3 linked regions of the Elephas maximus indicus genome follow. The protein of the gene in region 3 binds, or shares a complex with, the protein of the main gene of each other region. Links are inferred from orthologs where the notes say so. Each region holds a gene or a part of one and is shown on either strand. Other genes may lie near its edges. The genes, in order: PPFIBP1, PPFIA1 and ERC1.

The links.
Region 1: ERC1 (region 3) and PPFIBP1 share a complex: the UniProt entries of both Homo sapiens proteins name them as parts of the cortical microtubule stabilization complex. The link is inferred for Elephas maximus indicus from reciprocal best matches to the Homo sapiens genes ERC1 and PPFIBP1.
Region 2: ERC1 (region 3) and PPFIA1 share a complex: the UniProt entries of both Homo sapiens proteins name them as parts of the cortical microtubule stabilization complex. The link is inferred for Elephas maximus indicus from reciprocal best matches to the Homo sapiens genes ERC1 and PPFIA1.

Annotation. Positions count from the first base shown.
Region 1 is NC_064822.1:86,402,561-86,410,476, forward strand, and holds the start of PPFIBP1 (liprin-beta-1), read left to right. Parts: upstream 1-4,913; 5' UTR 4,914-4,948; coding exon 4,949-5,012; intron 5,013-7,565; coding exon 7,566-7,771; intron 7,772-7,916. UniProt on the Homo sapiens protein: May regulate the disassembly of focal adhesions. Did not bind receptor-like tyrosine phosphatases type 2A.
Region 2 is NC_064825.1:133,170,621-133,178,285, forward strand, and holds the start of PPFIA1 (liprin-alpha-1), read left to right. Parts: upstream 1-4,603; 5' UTR 4,604-4,724; intron 4,725-6,337; coding exon 6,338-6,601; intron 6,602-7,665. UniProt on the Homo sapiens protein: May regulate the disassembly of focal adhesions. May localize receptor-like tyrosine phosphatases type 2A at specific sites on the plasma membrane, possibly regulating their interaction with the extracellular environment and their association with substrates.
Region 3 is NC_064822.1:57,730,361-57,737,843, reverse strand, and holds the start of ERC1 (ELKS/Rab6-interacting/CAST family member 1), read left to right. Parts: upstream 1-4,401; 5' UTR 4,402-4,503; intron 4,504-4,521; exon of another isoform or gene 4,522-4,662; intron 4,663-7,483. UniProt on the Homo sapiens protein: Regulatory subunit of the IKK complex. Probably recruits IkappaBalpha/NFKBIA to the complex. May be involved in the organization of the cytomatrix at the nerve terminals active zone (CAZ) which regulates neurotransmitter release.

The sequences.
Region 1 (7,916 bases), about 29 Mb from region 3:
TATGTTATTCAAATCTCTGATATTATTCCTCTTCTTGTTTTTTCCTAGTTTGTCTACCAACTCAAAAGATGATTGAAAAAGCAGAAATAAATGACAGATGGGACAAACAGAAAAAAATAACAGGACAATAGACTTAACCCCAATCATATTAATAATTATATTAAATATAAATGGATGAAATTTGTCTAATTATTCCTTAATTCTGTCAGCTTTTGCCTCATGTATTTTGAAGTGTGCAGAAACATTTGTGATTGCTATGCCTTCGTGATGAATTGACTCTTTTAACATTATCAAATGTCCTGCTTTATTTCCAGTGATGCTTGATTTGAAGTCTAGTTTTTGTTATGTTAATATAACCACTCCTGCTTTCTTATGCTTTCTCTGTGCATGGCTTCTCATTTTCCATTCTTTTACATTTATATTTCTTCATACTTAAAGAACACCTCTTATAAACAATATATAAAAATATATATACTCAGGGTTTTTTGTACATGTGTGCTGGTATGACAGTCTCTGGCTTTTATTAAAATGTTCCATGTATATTTAATGTAATTATTTATATAGTTGAGTTTAAGTCTACTGTCTTGCCGTTTGTTTTCTGTTTCTCTCATACGTCTGTATTACCTTCATTTCTGCCTTCTTTTGGATTGAGTATTAAGGTTGCCTTTCCTGTTCCTCCTCCCACCACTGCTGCAGCCCAGACTGCTCTGTGGCTGCTACCGTGGGAGGAGCTATGGTCTCAGGCCTGGCCATAATGCACAGGCCGCCCTGGCCGAGTGGGGCAGTGGCCTCGCGGGGCATCCCCTTTGGTGCTGTGGCAGCATCTGCATGGTCCCTGCCAGAGGTGAGCACAGTGGGACAGGCATGTGTGGATGGGCATTGGGACCCCTCCCTCCTGCCGCCCCAGGGCCGGGGTTGACACAGGATCCAGAGAGCTAGTGAGGGACATCTAGGATCTACAGTACTTACTAAAGTACCTCTGCTATGTCCTGTTCTCTGATCAGAATCTCTGAGCTCTGTTATAACCTTATGGGACCTTGGATGTTTGTGTGGTTGGACATTGCCCGGATGGACGTTATGCAGCACATACCTGTATATCTTTGTTTTATAGTTTCAGTGGATTGCATTATATATTCTTAACTTATTATCCATCTATCATGAACTAGTATTAAACATCTTCATGTATAATGTAAGCATTCAACAATACTATACTTCCACTTAACCCCCTTCTATCCTTTGCATTATTTTTGCCATATATTTTACTACTCCATATACTAACAGCCTTACAGTGTATTTTCCTCTTTAAATTGTCAATTGTATTTTAAAGTAAAAAAGAAAAGGAAAATGATTTTAAAAAAATTTTATAAACATATTTATATTTTCTGTGTTTACTATGTACTTTTCATTCCTTTATGTAGATTTAAGCTTCCACGTGGTATCATTTCCACCCAATTTGAATAATTTATATTTGTTTTTTTTTAAATAGTTTTCTTTTCGCTTCTAAGATTCTCAAACTGTTCACTCGTTATCGTCATCTTTACCTTTTAAGGCCTTGAACATGTTTATCATAAGCCCATTGCCATCAAATCAATTCTGACTCATAGCAACCTTACAGGATAGAGTAGAACTTCCCCATAGAGTTTCCAAGGAGCGCCTGGCGGATTTGAACTACTGACCCTTTGGTTAGCAGCCGTAGCACTTAACCACAACTCCACCAGGGTTTCCATAGGTGGTCTAGCTTTGTGGTACTCCAAGTTGCACTCAGCCGATCCTAGTCTACTACATAATAAGTATAGCGATTGAGAGTTTTTATAAACTTTTATAGCAATTTAATATTGTCACAATATTTTTATATATTAAAAGAAGTATTGGTTTTTAATGAATTAGGGAAAAAAAAAAAAAAACTGGTTCTTCATCAGTTTGAAAAGTGCAATTTAGGTTGTCCCGTGCCTCTATATCACAGCATTTGAAAGTCTCGTTGAAAGAACAGAGAAGAAATAGATAACTACCTATCATACTTGTAAAAAATGCTTGTACTCTATGCAAAATACAGCTGCTAACAAAGACACATATTTTTCTGATTTTGTGAGGTGGTGAGAGTGTTTTTCTAACACGGGTATTACTCTGTTTTATTGGTATCCGCCATGTTTATAGCTAAGCCTGGCATGTGTCCATTTGTTTTTAATATGTGTATATCAGAATATCTAGAGCTCTTTGAAGTGCTACTTTTAAAATGAAAGGGAGTAAAAGCCACTTAATTATATGAAATTCAGGTAGCTTGCATTCTTCGGCTTGATCCTTTGTGTTCTCCATTATCACATTCTGAGTTTTCCAGCACGAAGGCAGTTGTTGCTTTTGTACCCTCTCCCTTTGGACTGTGCACTAGCTGAACGTGCAAGTAAGGTTTTGAAAACTATCTGGGTTAAACCCCCACCCTCATTTTCCCCCACCCAGTGGTTTCTGAGTGACTTTATACAACTGCCTTGAGCATTTTTATACTGTAGTTTTCCCACATAAAATGGTGGTGATAATTTACACCTTTTGAAGTGAGTAAATTTCTAGAAAACTCTTAGATGAAACTACTGTAAAATCAAAGTAAGATTTCACAGTGATTATATGGCATTTTACTAGATTGAATGCATAGTAGAGAACTGAGTGAGATGCTGTTTACTCGAACTGTATGTATATTTATGAACATAAAGTGGTAGGTGAGATCGGGCTGCTTAGAAACAGGACAAAGGTTTCTGTTAAACAGCATACTTTTTCTTTACCAGGTCATTGCTATACCACGGTGTCTGCAAAGAGGAGTCATCTTATTCAGGCCTGTTGGGAGAATATACATGGATGCTTAGTCTGCTACTTGAAATGTATTCATTAATGTTGAAAGTCACATAATCTTAACTTTTCCTTGTGAATGACCAAATTTTTTGCAAGAGTGATTTCAATATATTTTTTAATGCTGTTTTTAATAATTTATTTTTTTATTGTTTTTTTAATTAACTTTTATTGAGCTTCAAGTGAACATTTACAAATCAAGTCAGACTGTCACATATAAGTTTATATACACCTTACTCCGTTCTCCCACTTGCTCTCCGCCTAATGAGTCAGCCCTTCCAGTCTCTCCTTTCGTGACAATTTTGCCAGCTTCCAACTCTCTCTATCCTCCCATCCCCCTCCCCCCCCGACAGGAGATGCCAACACAGTCTCAAGTGTCCACCTGATATCATTAGCTCACTCTTCATCAGCATCTCTCTCCTACCCATTGTCCAGTCCCTTTCATGACTGTTGAGTTGTCTTCGGGAATGGTTCCTGTCCTGGGCCAACAGAAGGTTTAGGGACCATGACTGCCGGGATTCCTCTAGTCTCAGTCAGACCATTAAGTATGGTCTTTTTGTGAGAATTGCGGGTCTGCATCCCACTGATCTCCTGCTCCCTCAGGAGTTCTCTGTTGTGCTCCCTGCCAGGGCAGTCATCGGTTGTAGCCAGGCACCATCTAGTTCTTTTGGTCTCAGGATGATGTAAGTCTCTAGTTCATGTGGCCCTTTCTGTCTCTTGGGCTCTTAGTTATTGTGTGACCTTGGTGTTCTTCATTCTCCTTTGATCCAGGTGGGTTGAGACCAATTGATGCATCTTAGATGGCCGCTTGTTAGCATTTAAGACCTCAATATATTTTTAAACAGGTAGAAAGATGAATAGATTCTGACACAATTTCAACATGAAATAGGCCCCGTGATCCTTCATTTATACTGTCAAAGTCTGTGAAAACACGGAGATTTATTGTTTCTGAACACTTGCCCAGATGAGATCAGATTAACAGAAGTTCGATATTGTAGTGGAAATTAGACAGATCTAGGTTAAAATGAGCTTTGTTATATTTACTTGCTGTGTGTTTATGCAAAACTCAACAAATGTCTTTGGTCTTTATCTATAAAATGGAGATAAATATATCCATTTTATAGAGTTGTCACTATTAAAGATTATGGATAAATTATATGAATGTATAGAGACCATTGTAGGCACTCAATACATGGTAGGTATTGTTACATTGGAGCCCTGGTGGTGAAGTGGTTAAGAGTTTGGCTGCTAACCAAAAGGCTGGCAGTTCGAACTCACCACTGCTTCTTGGAAACCCAATGGGGCAGTTCTGTTCTGCTCTGTCCTGTAGGGTCACTGTGAGTCGGAATTGACTTGATGGCAATGGGTTTATTGTTACATTCTAAAATACCAGTATGTTTGTATATGTGTGTGTTTAGTATATATGTGAGTGAAGCTGTTTTCTTAGACAGATCTTATGGTAAACCCTAACACAAGGGAAAAAACCAAAACCAAATCCATCGCTGTCGAGTCGATTCTAACTCATAGTGACCCTGTAGGACAGAGTAGAACTGCCCCATAGGGTTTACGAGGAGCAGCTGGTAGGTTCTAACTGCCGACCTTTTGGTTAGCACCCGAGGTCTTAACCATTGCACCACTGGTGCTCCAATAAAAGGGAAGGGGTAGCAAAGTTAAGATAGCAGAGATTGAGTGGGGCTGGTGCAAGGAGAAGGAAGTCTTGTCTACTCAGCAGTCATGGTCCTCAGCAAGATTCCATAGCCATTCCCAAAGCACTTCAGAGAGTCCTAGAGCTCTACAGAATATAGCGTGAAAAGCATTCTATTGAGTTTTAAATACCTTGAGTACAAGGACTGAAACTTTAACTGATACAGATGTAGCCTGTGGTCTTGCAGTACAGTAGATGCTTGACCACGGCTTGTTGAATGATTCAGTTAACTCAGCTTAACTACTTTAGAAGTCCTGTCTTCAGATATGACTGCTAAGTGGAGTTATAATTTGAAGTTGAATCAGCAAACCTGCTAGCAATAGCAAGCATGTGTTATTTAAAGGATGTAATGATAACATCATTATTTTTTCAGATCTAGGTTGGAATTTGCCATTGAAATATAAGAAAATGATGAGTGATGCAAGTGACATGTTGGCTGCAGCGTTGGAACAGATGGACGGTATTATAGCAGGTAATCCATGTCTTCCAGAAGCTGGAATCATGGCATGTACTCAGCTCTCTTGGCTTTTTCATTACAACTCTCTTATTATCTTCCTATCTTCTTTCTTGTTTCTGTGTTTTGACTCTCTCCAGTGCCTTTAGGTTCCCTATGGTTTCATCTTTTCTGCCCTTTTCCATTCTATACCAGAATTATCCTCAAGCATTAGTTTAAAATCCAAAATCCAATTAAAATCCAATTCCACCCTAGCTTCTGATCAATGATAAAGAATCTGCATCTTGATGATTCTGGTACAGTGGTCTGTGGGCTGCGCCTGGAAGGACACTTCTTTACCTAGTATCTATGCATGTTCTGATCTGCTTCCTTGAACTCAACATTCACTTTTCCTTCAGTGACTCTCTCATCCATATCTTTGACTTTCCCAATTCTTTGCTAAGCTTCAAAATTCTTTGCTATCTCTAACTGCCAACCAGATATCTCTCCTGAAATGTCCTGTAGGTACATCACTGTCATCATTTAACACATTAAGGTCGTTATCTTTCCTTGGAAGCCTTTCTGTTCATAACCCTTCATCCACATAGTTTCTTAAACAAGAAATTTAAGTCGTTCCAGATACTTTTGTCCCTCATGCTCCACATTTAATTAATCGAATTCTAACATTTCTACCTCCTCCTAAAATTCTGCCTCTTCCTTTTATCCTTTCTAGAATCTGTCCTGTCTGTGCTACCATTGTCTTGGCTTGTCCAAGACACCCACCCACTCGATGTCCGGATATTCTGGCTTTTCCACTCTAGTCCATTCTTTCCTAGACCACCAGACATCACTTTCTAAAACACAGACTTGGTTGGATTACTCCCTGGTTAAGAATCGTCAACAGTTTTCTATTGTGACAGCAGAGCAAAGATCACTACATCCTTGTTTGCTCATCATGGCAGAGGGGGTGACAAGTAGGTGACCCCCTTGCAGTGGTGGCTTCTCCTGAGGAAAGTGGCATGTCATAGTTTGACCTTATCTGTTATACTCTGTCCTAGAGACCAGACTTCAGTTGAATCTCCTTTGCATATTAGACTGCACATTGAATACTGTATTCAGTTTTTGGAATATTGTTTTCAAAGGGTTATTGGCAAGCTAAAAGTTGTCTAGAGGTGGCAAACATGATGGTGAAGAATAAAACAGTCACATTAGTAAAGATCATTTGAAGGAACTAGTTAAATGTAATCTAGAAAACTGTTCTTACTTGGGGCATGATATATGTTTTCAAACATTGAAGGGCTATTTTGTGGAAGAGAGATTGAACTGACTCTTCTAGGATATCTGAAAATATAACTAGAATCAATTCTAGGCTTTTGCCAGAGAGTATAACCTTACATTCTTAGCAAAACTCTGGTTGAGATAAGTGATTTTTTGGAGCATTATTTGAAGGATTTACGATTTATATATTCTCCTAGATTTTTTTTTTTTTTTCCTAGATGCCTTGTTGTGGAGGGATATGGGCATATATATTTATAGTAATCTCGTCAGTAATGCTAATGCTTAAGAACCACTGGAATGGGACTTGTATGTTTTAGTAAACAAGTAGTTTGTATATTTGACACATCAGAATGGGCTATGGATTAGCAGTGTGAATTTAAGTAGTATGGTAGAATGGTTTCATTGGAAGTAATAGAAAGCTAACTATATAAATGTTTTAACTATAAAACTAACCGTATAACTATTGTTAAAAAAAAGCTGACATTAACAGTAGCCTTTTTGAGGTTTAGGCTGCAAACAAAATCATGGGGAAAAGTATTTATACAAACATGCTCACACACACATACACATGTAATTCATTGAACTTCTTCAGAGATTAAATTCTGGTAAATTAACTGGAAACTGGCCTTCTTTTCTTACCTTTGAAATTATGCTATGCAGTTTCCACTTCAATGTGTAACTTTTTTAAAAGAGTTTAAAGACTTCCTGGTCCCTAAAATTTGTGTTTTCTGGAATGCGTAGCTCCATACAAACTGACCTGCCTCCCTCCGTCAGAGGTTTTCAGGTAGAGGCCAGTGTACTTCTTGCCAAAACCCACCGTACCTTTTTTCTGCTTAACAGTTGGCCTTTCTGTTAGGGATTGGACTATTGATTACAGCTGATTCTCATTGTTCGTGTAGTTATGTTCTGTAAATTCCTACGAACGTTGAATTAGTGAATACCAAACCAGGGTTGTACACTGAGCTCCTCAAATTTTTTGCCGCTCTCTGAGTGGACGTATCTGTGAATGACCACGAAAGCACCATGGGTATTGATTTTGGGGTTACAAATAAATTTTAGTGAGTAGGCCAGTTGGCAAATATGAAATAATGAGGATGGACTGTATATGGTATATTTTTGTACCATATAACTATGGTGTGGAGGGGGATTTACATGATTGAATTATTATCTGACCCCCCCCCCCCCGTGTTTTTTTCCCGTTCTTTGTTTTGGTTTGATTGTTCCTTATTGTAATTAAACTTGTTTACTATCTTCAGCTCTGGCGTTTTATCTAATGTAAACCCCATCGCTTTCCTTGTGATATTTTTAACCTAGGTTCTAAGGCCCTGGAATATTCTAATGGGATTTTTGATTGCCAGTCTCCCACCTCCCCATTCATGGGAAGCTTGCGAGCACTGCACCTTGTGGAGGACCTGCGTGGATTGTTGGAGATGATGGAAACAGATGAGAAAGAAGGCTTGAGGTGCCAGATCCCAGATTCAACAGCAGAAACGCTGATGGAATGGCTTCAGAGCCAAATGGTAGGTGTCTCTGCATGTTAAAAGCCCCATGCTGTGAATCTTTTGTCACTTATTCTAAAATTTAGAGGCTAGAGTAGCTGATTAGAACAAGAGAAAAAAAATTATAGTACAACAGCTTTGTTTTAATTTTATCCCTTATGTGATC
Region 2 (7,665 bases), on a different chromosome or scaffold from region 3:
ACACATTACTGAATCTCTCTGAGCCTGTGTTCTCATCTGTAAAAGGATGTAGGATACACTTGGTGGTTTTCTTATTCTCAGTTCACCCAGAGCTGCCTATGCTCCCAGGGACATGACAGGTACTAACCACCCCTATGACAGGCACATTGATGGACCCAAATTTCAATTATTTGGTTTACAATGAGAAATGGAGCTGCCATGGAAACCAGAACACTTGGGCCAATGGTCTCCCCTGCTTTGCAGATGTTTGGACCTCAGTTTACTCATCTGTGAAATGGGAAGAATACAGGAATGGCCATATGAGGCATTAAGACTTAGAAAGACAAATAAATAAAATGTTAGCTCTGTGTTCCTTCCCCTTTCTCCTCGTTTACCGACCTTGTGCCCGTTGCCATCAGGTTGATTCTGATTCATAGTTAGAATCCCTATAGGACAGAATAGAGCTGCTCCACAGGGTTTCCAAGGAGCGGCTGATGGACTCCAACTGCCAGATGTTTTGGTTAGCAGCTGAGCTCTTAACCACTGCACTACCACAGCTCCACCAACCTTATGGGAAGCGTGAAAAGCGTCGGCTGTAAAAGCCGATGCGGCCAAGAGGATGAAGCCCTGGGCTCCTAGCCCTCCTCAGGGAAAGGCGCGTCCTGGGGACTGGATTACCTGGGCTGCACTGCAGACCCACTGAGAGAATGCTTACTTTTTGATTATGCCTTAAAGTGACCACTCCTGTGTCACTGCAACATGATGACCAGTCCTGGCTCAGGCCCCAAACTAAGCTGGGTTCCTGTGGGCAAATCACTTTGCATCTCTGGGTCTCAGTTTCCTCCCCTGAAAGGCGGGGTGTCTTAGTCATCTAGTGCTGCCATTACAGAAATACCACGAGTAGGTGGCTTTAACAAAGAGAAATTTACTTTCTAACAGTCTAGTAGGTTACAAGTCCAAATTCAGGGTGTCAGCTCTGGAGGAAGGTCCTTGTCCTCAATCTTCCCACAGTCGAGGAGCTTCTCAGGCACAGGGACCCCGTGTTCGAAGGATGCGCTCTGCTTCTGGTGCTGCTTTCTTGGTGGTATGAGGTCCCCCGCTCTCTGCTTGTTTCCCCCTCCTTGTATCTCTGGTGGTACAGGCCACACCCCAGGGAAACTCCCTTTACCTTGGAGCAGGGAGGTGACCTGAGTAAGGCTGGTGTTACAATCCCATCTAATCCTCTCAACATAAAATTAGAGTCACAAAATGGAGGACAACCACGCAATACTGGGAATCATGGCCTAACCAAGTTGACACATATTTTTGGGGGGACACCGCTCAATCCATGACAGGGGGCTACACCCTCCAAGGTCCACGCTGTCCCCCACATGGCTCTTCTAGCTCACATCTTCCCAAACTGTATTGCCACAACGACATCCATTACGTTCCTTTACATATTCCAGATAGACTGTGGCACACCCTGATCTCCGGGATGGAGGCTGGGTCACTCCTGCACCTCAACAGGAACCCCGCTCTTTAGGCTGCTTACCCCATACCTGACTCAACGGCATCTAACAACGCCCCACACCCACTGCACTTGAGTCGATTCCGATTCATAGTGACACTATAGGACACAGTAGAACTGCCCCATATGGTTTCCAAGGCTGTAATCTTTATGGAAGCAGACTGCCACATCTTTCTCCTGCAGAGTGACTGGTGGGTTTGAATAGCTGACCTTTCGGTTAGCAGACGAGCACTTAATCACTGAACCACCATACCTCCTTTTGTCTGCCTTGGCGGTAGTGTTGTTAGGTGCCGTTGAGTCGGTTCTGACTCATAGCAATTAGAAAGAAACACTGCCTGGTCCTGAGCCATCCTCACAATCATTGCTATGTTTGAGCCCATTGTTGCGCCACTGTGTCAATCCATCTCATTGAGGGTCTTTCTCTTTTTCTCTGACCCTCTACCTTACCAAGCGTGATGTCCTTCTCTAGGGACTGATCCCTGCTGATAACACGTCCAAAGTACCTAAGACGAAGTCTCTCCACCCTCCCTTCTAATAAGCATTCTGGTGGTACTTCCTCCAAGACAGATTTGTTCGTTTTTTTTCTGGCAGTCCGTGGTATATTCAATATTCTTCACCAACACCATAATTCAAAGGCATCAATTCTCCTTTGGTCTTCCTTACTGTTCAGCTTTCATGTGCACATGAGGTGAATGAAAATACCATGGCTTGGGTCAGGCACACTTTAGTTTTCCAACTGTGAATATCATTAAGTATTCTGTCATTTGGAAGTGCAATGATTTACTTAGTGAGGTCGTTGAGGTTTATGCTTTTCCTTACTGATTTTGCAATTTGGAGGAATGAAATGAATGAATGAAATTTGGGATTTTCATTTTCCTGGAGCTACACCAAATGGGCTTCTCCCTTCTCTGCTTGGAAAACTCCTCCTCCTTCTAGATCCAGCTCAGATGTTACATCAGGTCGTCTGTGATGCCAGATGGAGAGTTGGTTTCCACTCCTCTGTGGTCCCACAGCACCAGGTCACACACCCTTTATAGGACAACAGACCTAGGCCAGTACCTGGCTCACAGGTGCTTGGGCAAACGTTGACGGAATGAGTGGAAGTCTACCCTGTTGAACTAAATTTTGGCATTTCTCAGGAGAAAAGCACTTCACGAGCTATGGTGCAAGTAAGGGTTGGATGAACTAAGCAGGTACACCTAAGGAGGGCTGGACATTTTCTTTTGTTGTAGACCCTGATTGGTGACCCGGGGGACTGGTCCGGAATTGCTGGTGTGTCGGGGGGGAATGGTAGCTGGACAACACTTCCCAGAACTAAGTGATCACCTTTACAATTTTAAAGTAGCAAAGAACCAAGGGCCAGAGCTGAAAATTGAACACCTATGTGTAGTCATTCAATAAGTACTTGTTGAACGAAAGAATAAATGGATGGAAGGAAGGCGTGATACCGGCACCTGGGAGGCAAGTCAATCCCAGGAAGCCCTTGCTCTTGGTGAGCTCACGTCGGAAAATCAAGTAACCTGCCTTGGAAGAATTGCCCCCATGCCATGCAGCCTTTAGACCTGATTGGTCCAGGGGCTCCTGGCTGCCTCACCTTCACACAGTGACATTCTGACGATTTGGTTTGTGAAGAGTTTATGCTCCAGGAGTCAGACTCTGAGGTGGGTGGGTGGGTAGGAGGTAAGCATCTGCTTTAGTTTATTAAAGGGTATTTATTAATCTCTGTGTCTGGAACACCTGGAAGAGGACTGGGCACACAGTTGTTTTTAGGTGCTGTCGAGTCGGTTTCAACTCATAGTGACCCTATGCACAACCGAAGGAAACACTGCCTGGTCCTGTGCCATCCTCACAATCGTTGTTATGCTTGAGCCCATTGTTGCAGCCACTGTGTCAATCCATCTCGCTGAGCGTCTTCCTCTCTTTTGCTGACCCTCTACCAAAAATCATGTTCTTCTCCAGGAACTGGTCTCTCCTGACAGTATGTCCAGAGTATGGGAGAGGAAGTCTCACCATCCTTGCTTCTAATTAGCATTCTTGCTGTACGTCTTCCAAAACGGGTTTGTATTGTTCTTCTGGCAGACCAAAATGGGCACACAGTAAACAAACAAACAAACAAACAAACAAACCCAAACCCATTGCCGTGGAGTCGATTCTGACTCACGGTGACCCTATAGGACACAGTTAAGCTGCCCCATAGGGTTTTCACGGAGCAGCTGTCAGATTTTAACTGCCAACCTTTTGATTGGCAGCTGACGAATGTTTGCAGAGAGGACAGAAGTGGCCACCCCGATGGAACACCTCCACAGCCAGGCTCCCAACTCGTTGCTTTAGGGATGTTCTGTTCCTCAAAACCACCTTGCAGGTAGGTCTGTACCATTTTCCCATTGTACAGGTGGGCCATTGACTCCCAGAGGGGTTTCGGTGTTACTCAGGCCCACGCTGAGGGTAAAGTTAACAGCGCTGGGAGGAGAACCAGCGAGCCCGGTTCCACAGCCTGCATTCCGCATCTTCGCCTGCCTAGGTACCGAAGGTAAAGCTTAACCACGGCTCTGGTGTAAAAGCCGCGTCCTTCCTTGTGCTGCACGGCCTCGGTCCGGGAGGCCACCTGAGGAGGGTCTGGAGGCGACACTCGTGGGCTTCCCCCGCCCCTCGGCCTCGGGTGGGCGTGCGCCCGCCTCCTGCCCCGGGCCCAGGGTGCACCGGATGCTGGGAAGCGTCTGGCGCAGACCTGAAGCACAACTGACGCTGTATAAAGGCCATGCTGTTCCGGCGGCGGTTAAGGAGAGACCTCGACGCCGCCCGGCCAGGACCTGCGCCGGGAGCAGTCAGTCGCTCCCCACCTTCCCCAGGTGGGCTGGGGGCGGGGCTTGGGCGCGCAGCCAATCAGCGCTCGGGCCGCGCGGCCGCCCGGCCCTGAGGAGGCGGCGCTTGCGCAGTGGGCGCCCGTCCCGGGGGCGGGGCGTCCGGCGCGCCGGCGCTGACGCTCGCGCGACGCGTCCGACGTCGGGCACGTTGACGCCGGTGACGCGCAGGCCGGGCCCGCTCCTCCTCCGCTCGGCAGAGTCCGGCCGCGGGCCGGCCTTCGTGACTGGCGACGGCGGGCCGGGCGCGGGCGTCGGGCGGGCGGCTGGGCGAGCGGGCGCCGGCCGCGGGCGTCCTTCGTGGGCCCTGAGCGCGCCGGAGCGAGCGGCCGCCCGCGAGCCGCCGCGGAGCCTCCTCCCGCTCCCCGGCGAGCAAGGTGAGGGCGCGCGGGGAGACTGAGGCAGGCGGGCGACGCGGGCCGGGGTCCCCTGCGAGCGCCGGCCTCGGGCGCGGCGGGCCTCCAGCGCCCGCCGAGGGGCTGCGCCGCCGTCCGATGTCACCCTCGGGCACCGGGACCCTCCGGGGGCCGCGGCGGGGCGGGGGGCGAGGCCGGGGCGGAGGGGGACCCCGGCGGGACCCCAGCGGCCGCGCGCCCCGGTGCTCTCTGCCGCCCTCTCCGCCCCTGGGACCGGGCGCCCGGGCGACGCGCCGCTCCCTCCCGGACCCAGCGCCCCGGGGGTGGCGAGCTGGGCGCGAGGGGCGAGGACTGGTGGCGCCTGCAGCCCTGACCGGGGCGCCAGCACACGCCGGGCCCCCGGTGCGGACGGCTCTCAGCACCCCGGGGTCGGGGGCGCCCGTGGCACCTGGTGCAGGAGGGGAAGGGAGGGCGAGTGGGCTCGAGGTCATGGTCACTGCCGGGGGCGCCGTCTTGGGCACCTCTCTCGGGGGGTCGGCGGTGGCCGAACACAGCCCAGAACCCTCGGGAGTGAGCGCCGCTTCCATCCCCTCGTCCCGTCCTTGTATTTGAGACATTTCCCAGTCTGCCATCGTCTCACCTTTCACTTTTCCTTCCTTCCTGGCTGACCCCGGCTGTGTCGACCTGCGGTGTTTCCATTGTGGAATTTTTTTTCTTTGCGCTGTAAACTTACGTAAAAGTTAGGTTGACTGACCAACTGTTGCAGCCATTGAAAAACACCTCTCCCAGCCCTTCCCGAATCCAGTTCCTTTTACTGCTCTCCAAATCCAAGAATTCAGGGAGCCGTCATTCCTTCCCAGGAGCTGACTGTACACATTCTTGCCAGATGCCTGGTGGATTTTGTACTTGTCAGTGTTACTGGCTGTGTGCTCCTTCTGTGCTTTCCCTGAAAAAAAAAAAAAAAAAAAAAAAGATTGGGTGGCATGTGTTTTGACTTTTTCTTCCCCACCGGGAAATAGGAAAAAAAAAAAAAAAAAAAAAGGGTTACAGAAGCACTCTTGTTTTCAACAACAAAAATACCGCTTTGCAAACAAAATCCCTTAGGGTTTGTTCTTTATGAGATGGGTAGCCCTCCTCAGTCTTTACTGCTCCACTGGGTTATTTTTGAGGTTAATGTCTTCATCTGGCGTGACTGCCGAAGGTTTCACATGTGTTTGCATTTCCAGTTTATATGTGGAGCATAACAATCAGACCTGAGAAGAATGGGGCGGACGCCTTTTTCTTTTATTAGCTAAAAAACAAAAACGAAAACCTGTTGCCCTCCAGCCAGTTCTGAGTCACGGTGACCCTGTGTGGTATTCAGTAGAAGTGCTCCGTTCTTGTCTCTAATTCCGGAAGGAGATCACCAGGCCTTTCTCCCACGGAGTGCTGGGTGGGTTTTCACCACCAGCCTTTAGGTTAGCAGCCAATCTCGAACCACTTGCTGCACCCAGGCTCCTGTGTATTAGCCATGAAACCCGACCAAACCCGTTGCCGTCAGGTTGGTTCCAAGCTGTAGATACCTATAAAGTTGCAGACCTGTGGGGACCTTTGTTTTGCTCATACCAACTCCAGTCTGTGTCTGTCATTTCCAGATGATGTGCGAGGTGATGCCGACCATCAGTGAAGCAGAAGGCCCCTCAGGAGGAGGCGGGAGCCATGGGTCCGGCTCCCCATCCCAGCCTGATGCAGACTCCCACTTTGAACAGTTAATGGTCTCCATGCTGGAAGAAAGGGACCGTCTTCTCGATACGCTGAGAGAGACTCAGGAAACGCTGGCGCTCACCCAGGGGAAGTTACACGAGGTTGGGCACGAGCGAGACTCCTTGCAGAGACAGCTCAACACTGCACTTCCACAGGTACAGATGCTGCCGAGGTTTCCACTAAAGGCTTTCGTGTGGTGTCACTTTCTGTTAATGGTTCTGTGAGCATTTTGTACAACTAGTTATGAAATGGCGGCTTCTGGTGATGAAGTTCCCGGGGCTAAAACTTCGTAGGGAGAACAAACTCTGTGGTACTCCAGAGTCACGTGAAAATACCTTACAACTCTCATTCCTGTCCTGGGGCAGCAGAAGGGATTGTCTAGGTGTGGGACAGTGCTCCAGCATTTCTGAGAAAGACCGTGAACCAGTCAGGCTATGTGGGGCCTTCGGTTCCATTGTCTTCAGCTGCCTCTTGCCCAGAGTGTATTTCCCATGCATTCTTTTTCATGCCTTTCCAATTTCCTAAAGAAAATCAGTAGGCAAATAGGATAGATTTCAGAGGAAAGAAAAATTTTTTTACAGCCCCCCTTTACCAGAACACCTGTTTTCTAAACCAGATTTGTTTTAGGGGTTGGAAGAGTGGAGATAGACACCTTAGGAACTTTTCCTTGGCAGATGAAAACGATCAGGCTTAAGGTCACCTTGAAGTTGTTATTCTAAGTATATTACGTTTGGACCAGTGTTTCAAAGCCTTTCGTTAAGGAGTTGAATGAGGATTCAGTGATAGGTGAAGGGGGAAAGTAGTAAAACTAGGAAAGTGTACAGTGAGTGTTGGCGTGCAGCGGCCATGTCTAGGTGACAGAGGTGTTGATGGGATGTCTGGGTGCCATGTTACCTATTCAGAGCGTGTGCCTTTATGGAGCTTTCAGGTAGACCTGGATAAGCATACAGTTACGCAGAACCTTCCTGATGGGTCTGCAGTGATAAATTAGTAAATTGATAATTACTGGCCTTAATGCATTTCTTGGCTTTAGCCGATTCTCTTGAAAGATTGATAAGCCCGACATTTGGATTTCCTTTGTAGCAGCAACGATTTGATAAGATTTCTGTGTGTTCTCTTTCGGTTGGATGAGAGCATGATAGAGTGTTTTCTTATTAAAAACCCACTTATAAATTACCATGTTTGTTCAGGTCAGATTTCATTCCCACAAACTTAAAAG
Region 3 (7,483 bases):
TCTAGTGTAAGACTAGTCCTGTTGAATTGACCCTCTATTTTTCTTGTATTTTCTCTCACAATGTTCGTCACTTTGCATATTTCTTCTCTGTTCTTTGATATTTAATAGACATTTTATCTTCCACACTTCAATTGACTATGTTGTTGCTAGGCACGGTCAAGTCTGTTCCAATTCATTGTGACCCTGTGTACAACAGAACAAAACACTGCCTGGTCCAGTGCCATCCTCACAATCATTGTTATGCTTGAGCCCATCACTGCAGCCACTGTGTAAATCCGTCTTATTGAGGGTCTTCCCCTTTTTTGCTGACCCTCTAATTTACCAAGCATGACATCCTTCTCCAAAGACTGGTCCCTCCTGATAACATGTCCAAAGTACGTGAGAGGAAGACTTGCCATCCTCACTTCCAAGGAGCCTTCCAGCTGTACTTCTTCCAAGTCAGATTTGTTTATTCTTGTGGCAGTCCATTGTATATTCAACATTCTTCACCAACACCATAATTGAAGGGCATCAGTTCTTCTTTGGTCTTCCTTATTCATTTCCCAGCTTTCACATGCATTTGGAAACCAAAAAACCCATTGCTGTCAAGTGGATTCAGACTCATAGCAACCCTGTAGGACAGAGTAGAACTGTCCCATAGGGTTTCCAATGAATGGCTGGTGGATTCGGACTGCCAACCTTTTGGTTAGCAGCTGTGCTCTTGAACAATGCACCACCAGGGTTCCACATACATATGAGGCAATTGAAAATACCATGACTTGGGTCAGGTGCACCTTAGTCCTCAAAGTGACATCTTTGCTTTTTAGCATTTTAAAGAGGTCTTTTGCAGCAGATTTGCCCAATGCAATACATCATTTGATTTCTTGACCGCTGCTTCCATGGGAGTTGATTGTGTATCCAAGCAAAATGAAGTCCTTGACAATTTCAATATTTTCTCTATTTATCATGATGTTGTTTATTGGTCTAGTTGTGAAGATTTCTGTTTTCTTTATATTGAGGTGCAATCCAAACTGAAGGCTATAGTCTTTGATCTTCATCAGTAAGTTCTTCAAGTCCTCTTCACATTTCAGCAAGCAAGGTTATGTCATCTGCATATCATAGTCAGTTGGCTATAGTTTTAGCAATTTCTTATTTGAACACCCACTTTCATTCTTAGATTGTTATTTCATCATAGTACGGTATTTTTGTTTCATAGATGCAATATAAATCTATGACAGTACTAACTAGTTTTTTTTTTTTTTTAAGTTCTCTGAACCTCCTTTTTCCTCTATGGTCACATTTTCTATTTACCCCACCTGTGATCATTAAGGTTGTGTGTCAACTTGGGTGGACCATGATTCTCAGTGGTTTGGCAGTTACGATGTAGTTTGGCAGTTGTATGATGATGTAATCACTTCCATGATGAGATCTGATATAATGTGATCACCTCCATGATGAGATCTGTTGTGAGTAGCCAATCAGTTAAAAGGAAGTTTCCTTGGGGGTGTGGCCTGCATCCAATATAGGTAGACTTTCTGGCAAAGCTCGTGGACTGTTGCTTGCTCTGGATCCTGTAGCTGGCTCCCGTTTGTCCGGCCTCTGGTTCTTGGGACTTGAGCTAGCAGCTTACCTACCATCTTGCCTGCCAGTCTTGGGATTCTTCAGTCTTTGCAGCTTGTGAGCCAGATCCCTGCTGTCTGTCCTGCCAATCTTGGGTTCTACAGCCCCCGCAGCTACAGGAGAAGCCTCCAGCCTGACCCATGGACTTGAACTTTCCAGCCTCTACAACTGCATGAACCATTTCCTTGATATAAATCTCTCTATATATTTATATACTTTACTGGATTTGCTTTATTAGAGAACCTAGCCTAAGACACCACCCCATCTTTTAAATATCTAATGATCCTTAGTTGTCTGTTCATATTTAAGATGAGGCAATTAATGCTGATTAGGAGTCTTGTGAACTTGTGAGGGTCTTGCCAACTCACTCAACTTTACTTTAGGGTGAGTGAAAAGTAAACCACCTATTATGCCAGAGTGAAGAATGCTTTACTCTTAGCATTTACTCATAATAATTGCCCAAGTCCTCCCCCAGAGAGTCTGACAGCTCTTGATTAGTAGCCTTCAGTAAAAGCTTGGGTATTGTATGAGATATGGAGAGTTCTGCTGTTCTGTACCAAAAAAAAAAAAAAAAACAACCAAAGCCACTGCCATTGAGTTGATTCTGATTCACAGTTACCCTATAGGACAGAGTAGAACTGCCCTCTAGGGTTTCCAAGGCTGTAATGTTTATGGAAGCAGATGGCCACAGCTTTCTTCTGCAGAGCAGCTGGTAGGTTCAAACCACTGACCTTCTGGTTAACAGCTGAGCACTCTAACCACCGCACCACCAGGGCTCCTTCTGTTCCATATACAGACTTTTACTTAGATTCTCTGTTTTCAGCCTGCTTCTTACTCTTGCTCTCTTGTCCGTGTCTCTAAATCTCAGTCTCTCTAAAGTACTTCTAGGTCAGGCCTCCTTTGGCTCTAACATTTCTCTCCATGGTTTTCTTTGCTTTGTTTAATCATATTACATTCACTTTCTGTATATGAAATTAAAACTTTTTTTTTCTTTTTCTGATGTCCCCTGAATTGGGTTGAATAATGTTCCCAAAGATTCATGTCCATCCAGAACCTGAGACTCTGATATTACAGTATTCCTGTGTATAACTTAGTGCTTAGCATCTTAACTCTCCAGATCCACGCAGTTTAGGGATATGATGGACCTCAGACATCTAGTTCAAACCCCATTTTACAACTGAGAAAAGCAGGGCCTGAAGTAAAGTGATTTGCCCAAGGTCACACAATTAGACAGTGACAAACCGGAGAGTAAAAAGATATATTAACTCCTGGTTCACTTGCCTTCTTACCTTACACACTGTTGGGGAGTACCCTGATGGGCAGATCAAGATTTTGATGAGAAAGTCTTGACAAAGAGTCAAAGAAGGATAGTTTTTACTGCGTAAATAGTCAGATGTCCAAGCGAACGAAATATATTAGGATGATTATTTGATGATTATTCGGCAGCTATATAACCTTCTTCTCTGGCAGTACATAGGCTAACAATTGGTAGCCATATGTCAGATGTACTGAAGGGGGAGACTGTACAGCAGGGCCAGGAACTGCAATGATCTAAGTGTACGATGACCCTGGGAAGGGACAATTAGAGTGGCTGAATGTGAATACCGAGGAGAGAGGGGAAAATGTTGGAGGGATTATGGGGGTCGGTAAACTGGTTAATTACGAGGTGGGGAGAAAGGAGTGAGAGGGAGGGGTAAAACTCCTCCCCTCTCAAGGGCATTTTAAATTATTTGAACAAGCACTGCAGGGCTGGGAATAAATAGAGTTCACACCACTCTTACTTCCTCGGTTTAGAGATATTTTACCTACCTTCTTAAATTAATGGCTGCAGCTACTCTCTTTGCATGACTCTGATGAAAGAAAACCGACTGCCATTCAGTCTAAGAAAATCGAGTTGCCTGAAATAAGGCACCAGTTGTTTGGTAGACTCTCCTAGCTGTTAAGAGGACCAAATAAAACTGTTAACGTAGCACAGTATTTGGCACATAGCACGGGGGTGAATGTAAGCATTGATTTCCGCCCACACTCTGCTCTCCTCCCCTGGCATAATAACTACAGAAAAACTCACGTACACTGGCGGTGAGTCTTCTGAGATGCCCAAGTTCTTTCCCTAGAGTCGTGTGGACAGCCCGGAGTTTCTCAGCTTGTATTACTACCTTCTGCGGCCACATTTCGGAAAAGCTAAGGGTGGGGGGAAAAAATGCAACCCCTCTGGGACAAAGGGTGCCCACTGCAGAAGTGGGAGCCCAGCTGTGAATCTACTGACAACCCCAAAGCTACTCCCTAAGGCGGTGGCGGTCCCAGGGTTTGTGTAACGGGCCCTGCGAATGAGGGAGAGGGTGGGGCGTCTCTGAGGTTTGGAAAAAAGACAATTCCCGTCTTCGGGCTTCCAGGCCATTCACTTCCTACGGCAAGCAGAAGGAGACAAATGCCGCCTTTCCTCACTCCCACCTACCGCCTTTTCTCAGAGCCTGCTCTCCCTTTACCCTCCCTCGGCCACAGTGTGTGTGTGTGTGTATGAACGTATGCGAGTACGCTCGCGCTCTTTACTCTGCTTCCGCGCGGAGGTACCGCCGAAGACCTGAATCACTCCCTCTTCCTATCCCCTAACCCGCCTTCCCCCGGAAGGCGCCGGGAGGCCTGCGGGCTTCCGAATCGCGCTCCCGGGAGGGTGAGGGAAAGGGAGGTAATCGGGCGGGGAGGAGGTGGGGCAGCTCGTGGCGTCTCCCGACCCGGGGGACTGTGGGCGGGGCTAGGTGTCGCGCAGGGGGCGGGGCGCAGTGACGTCGGCGGGCGCCCGGACGGTGCTGTGGCGGTGGCGGCGGCGGCGGCGGCGGCGGTAGTGGTGGTGGCGGCAGCGGTGTCGGAGCTCGGGCGGCAGCGGCAGCAGCAGCTCAGAGGAGGGTGAGACGACCGAGATAGCGGCAGCTTGGAAGTCGGGCGGGACCTAGAGCTTCCCGCCTGTCCCTGGCGCTGGGGCTTTCGCCGTTTCTTACCCGGCTTCTTTCTTACGGCCCTGGCTAGGGCAGGGCAGAGCGCCCCCGGGGAGGGGCGGAGCCGTAGGTGAGGCTTCAGGACCCCCTCCCCCTTCTCTCTACGGGGGTGTGTGGGGCTGGAGAGCTCCGGGGGGGGGCGGACCCCACCCTAACCCACCCCAGCCCACCGGCGGGCTCCACCCAGCCGAGCTTCGGGATTGGGCGGGAGCTGAGGCGACAGATGTGGAGAACCGGGGGCAAGAGGTGGGAGTCTGGAGATGGGGGCTCGTCTGGAGATGGGGGCTCTGGGCGCTTGGCGAACGGGGGGTTTATGAGGCGTGATGCTGCGGGCGAGGTAGTGGGGAGATGGAGAAATTGGGGAGCCATGAGGTTGGGGCGCAGTCAGGGTGGATCTATGGGTTTAGGTGACCGATGTAAAATGTTGGAGATGAGGATTCCTTTTTTCCTGTTTTTTTTTTTTTTTGTGTGTGTGACACAGTGAGGTAGGAGATGAAGGGTTGTATTTCAAAAGGAAGATGGGCTGTGGATGTTGCTTTTGAGGCAGTTGGAGAAGCTATTGTACTAGGTCTCACATTTCTGTTTGAGGGTTTTGGTTATTTTTCTTATTCTAGGGGGGCGGGTGGGGAGGGTATAGGGCGCTGAGAGAAGAGAATCGCATTGCTTTGGCAAGGTTTTGATAAATTGTGAGCGTGGATAGATCTGAAGTTTTACACCCAAGAAGAGTGTGATCTTGGGTTAGACAACTTTCTTTTGGCAGCAAGCATTAGGGAATAGGTCACGTTACCCTAGTTCCTTAAAGGTGTTGTCTTCCAGTCTTTTTTCTGTGCCTAAAAGATCTTTCTATACCATCTTATTTATAAGTTTTATCCTGGCACTTCTAGAGAAGGCTTGAGAATCAGATGTTACTTTGGAGCATACATTTCTGAGTAGTAGTTGCAGGTGGTTGGGGTTGACTGCATTGGGTGAATAAAATGAACAATTTGAACAGTTCTGTTGTAGCTAATTATATGAAAAATGCCTAAATGCTTCAAAGCACGGCTGTTTTTTACAGTCCTTGTTTTCAGTAGACCTTGATATTTAGACAATTTGGGTTCAATTATTGGAGATTATTTCTCAATTGAGGATGTGTGTATAATCTTATTAAACACTATAAAAGATGAAATGAAATAATCTTTTTTTTAGGTAGGCCTCTTAATTTCTGAGGCATGTTCTTGGAGTTGAGTGCTTTTAAAATATTCTTTACTAAAATGCTAGGGGGCATTGTGCTTGACACTTTACAGGGAGATGTTACTAAGAGTAAACAGTGTTCTTCACATCAGTGTTTCACAACTTACTTAGCACAGTAAATCAGAATCTTCTTTTCTGAATTCCTGCTCCCTATTAGGTTGCAGTGTTCACTGACCTTGCATATCAGTGTCATTTAAGCTATTTCTTGCCTAGAAAACAGGTCCAGTGATAGACATGTATTATGTAATGGATAGAAGTTGTCATGACCCTCAATAACTCATTTATGGAGGAAGAGAAACCGTCATGAAGTGAAATTTAAGCAGTGACTTTCCCAAGGCTTACCCAATTTATTTGGGAAAATAGCCAGAGAAGTCTTTCGTGTGTAACCCCAAAGAGAAATATACAGATGTCAGTTTCAGTAGTTACAGGTCATTGCCTTTCTACATGCCTATTTAACGAGCAATATCTTCTAGCAAATACTTCTGCTTGTGGAGACTTACAGGGTACAGTTAAGAGGGCGTAATAGCTATTAAGTGAGAAAGGGTATGGTCTCATTTATGAGGATAAATCAAATAACTGTATTCAGACAGATTGAATTATAGGTTGGTACAGTGAATACTTTTGCTTTTGGGATAGTTACTTAAAAGGAAAAAATTAAAATTCACATATCTAGTTTTGGCTTTTCAATTTTACTTTGATTTAATTGAGTACACATGGGGTCAAATGTGACCTAAGCTACAAGGTAAAACTGTGCTGTTAAGTGATACTTGCATGACTCATAGTGGGATGTGATTCTTCTGCTTGTAGGAATGAGATCATATGATTTGAAGGAAAGTTTAAGGTAGAAATGACCTATTTCTGTTTAGAATTCCTTATGCCTGAAAAGTGCTACATTTTATTTTTCAAGAAATGTTACTTAAACATTCTTTAAAGAGGTAGAAAATCTAATCGCCAACTTTATTTGGAAAGGAAAGAGACCCTGGATAAGCAAAGCACTGCTGAAGAAGAACAAAGTAGGAGGCCTCACGCTTCCCGATCTCAGAACCTGCTATGTAGCCACAGTAGTCAAAACAGCCTCGTACTGTACAACGACAGACACATAGACGAGTGGAATAGAATTGAGAACTAAGAAGTAAATCCATCTACCTGATCTTCAGCAAAGGGCAGAAATCCATTAAATGGAGAAGAGTCCCTTTAACAGATGGTGCTGGCAAAACTGGATATCCATTTGCAGAAAAATGAAACAGGATCCACACCTCACACCATATACAAAAACTAACTCAAGATGGATCAAAGACCTAAATGTAAGACCTAAAACTATAAAGATCTTGAAAGAAAAAATAGGGACAAACCTAGGGGCCCTTAATTTATGGCACAAATAGACTATCAAACATAACTAAAAGTGCACAAACAGGAGAAGGTAAACTAGATGACTGGGATCTCCTAAAAATTAAATGCTTACGTACATCAAAAGACCTCTCCAAAAGAGTAAAAAGAGAACCTACAGATTGGCAACATTTTTTTGGCAGTGATATATCTGACAAGGGACTAATCTCAAAAATGTATAGAAAACTTCAATACCTCAACAGCAAAAAGGCAAACAATCCAATTAAAAAATTGGCAAAGGTCAAGAACACATACTTCACCAAAGAAGACATATA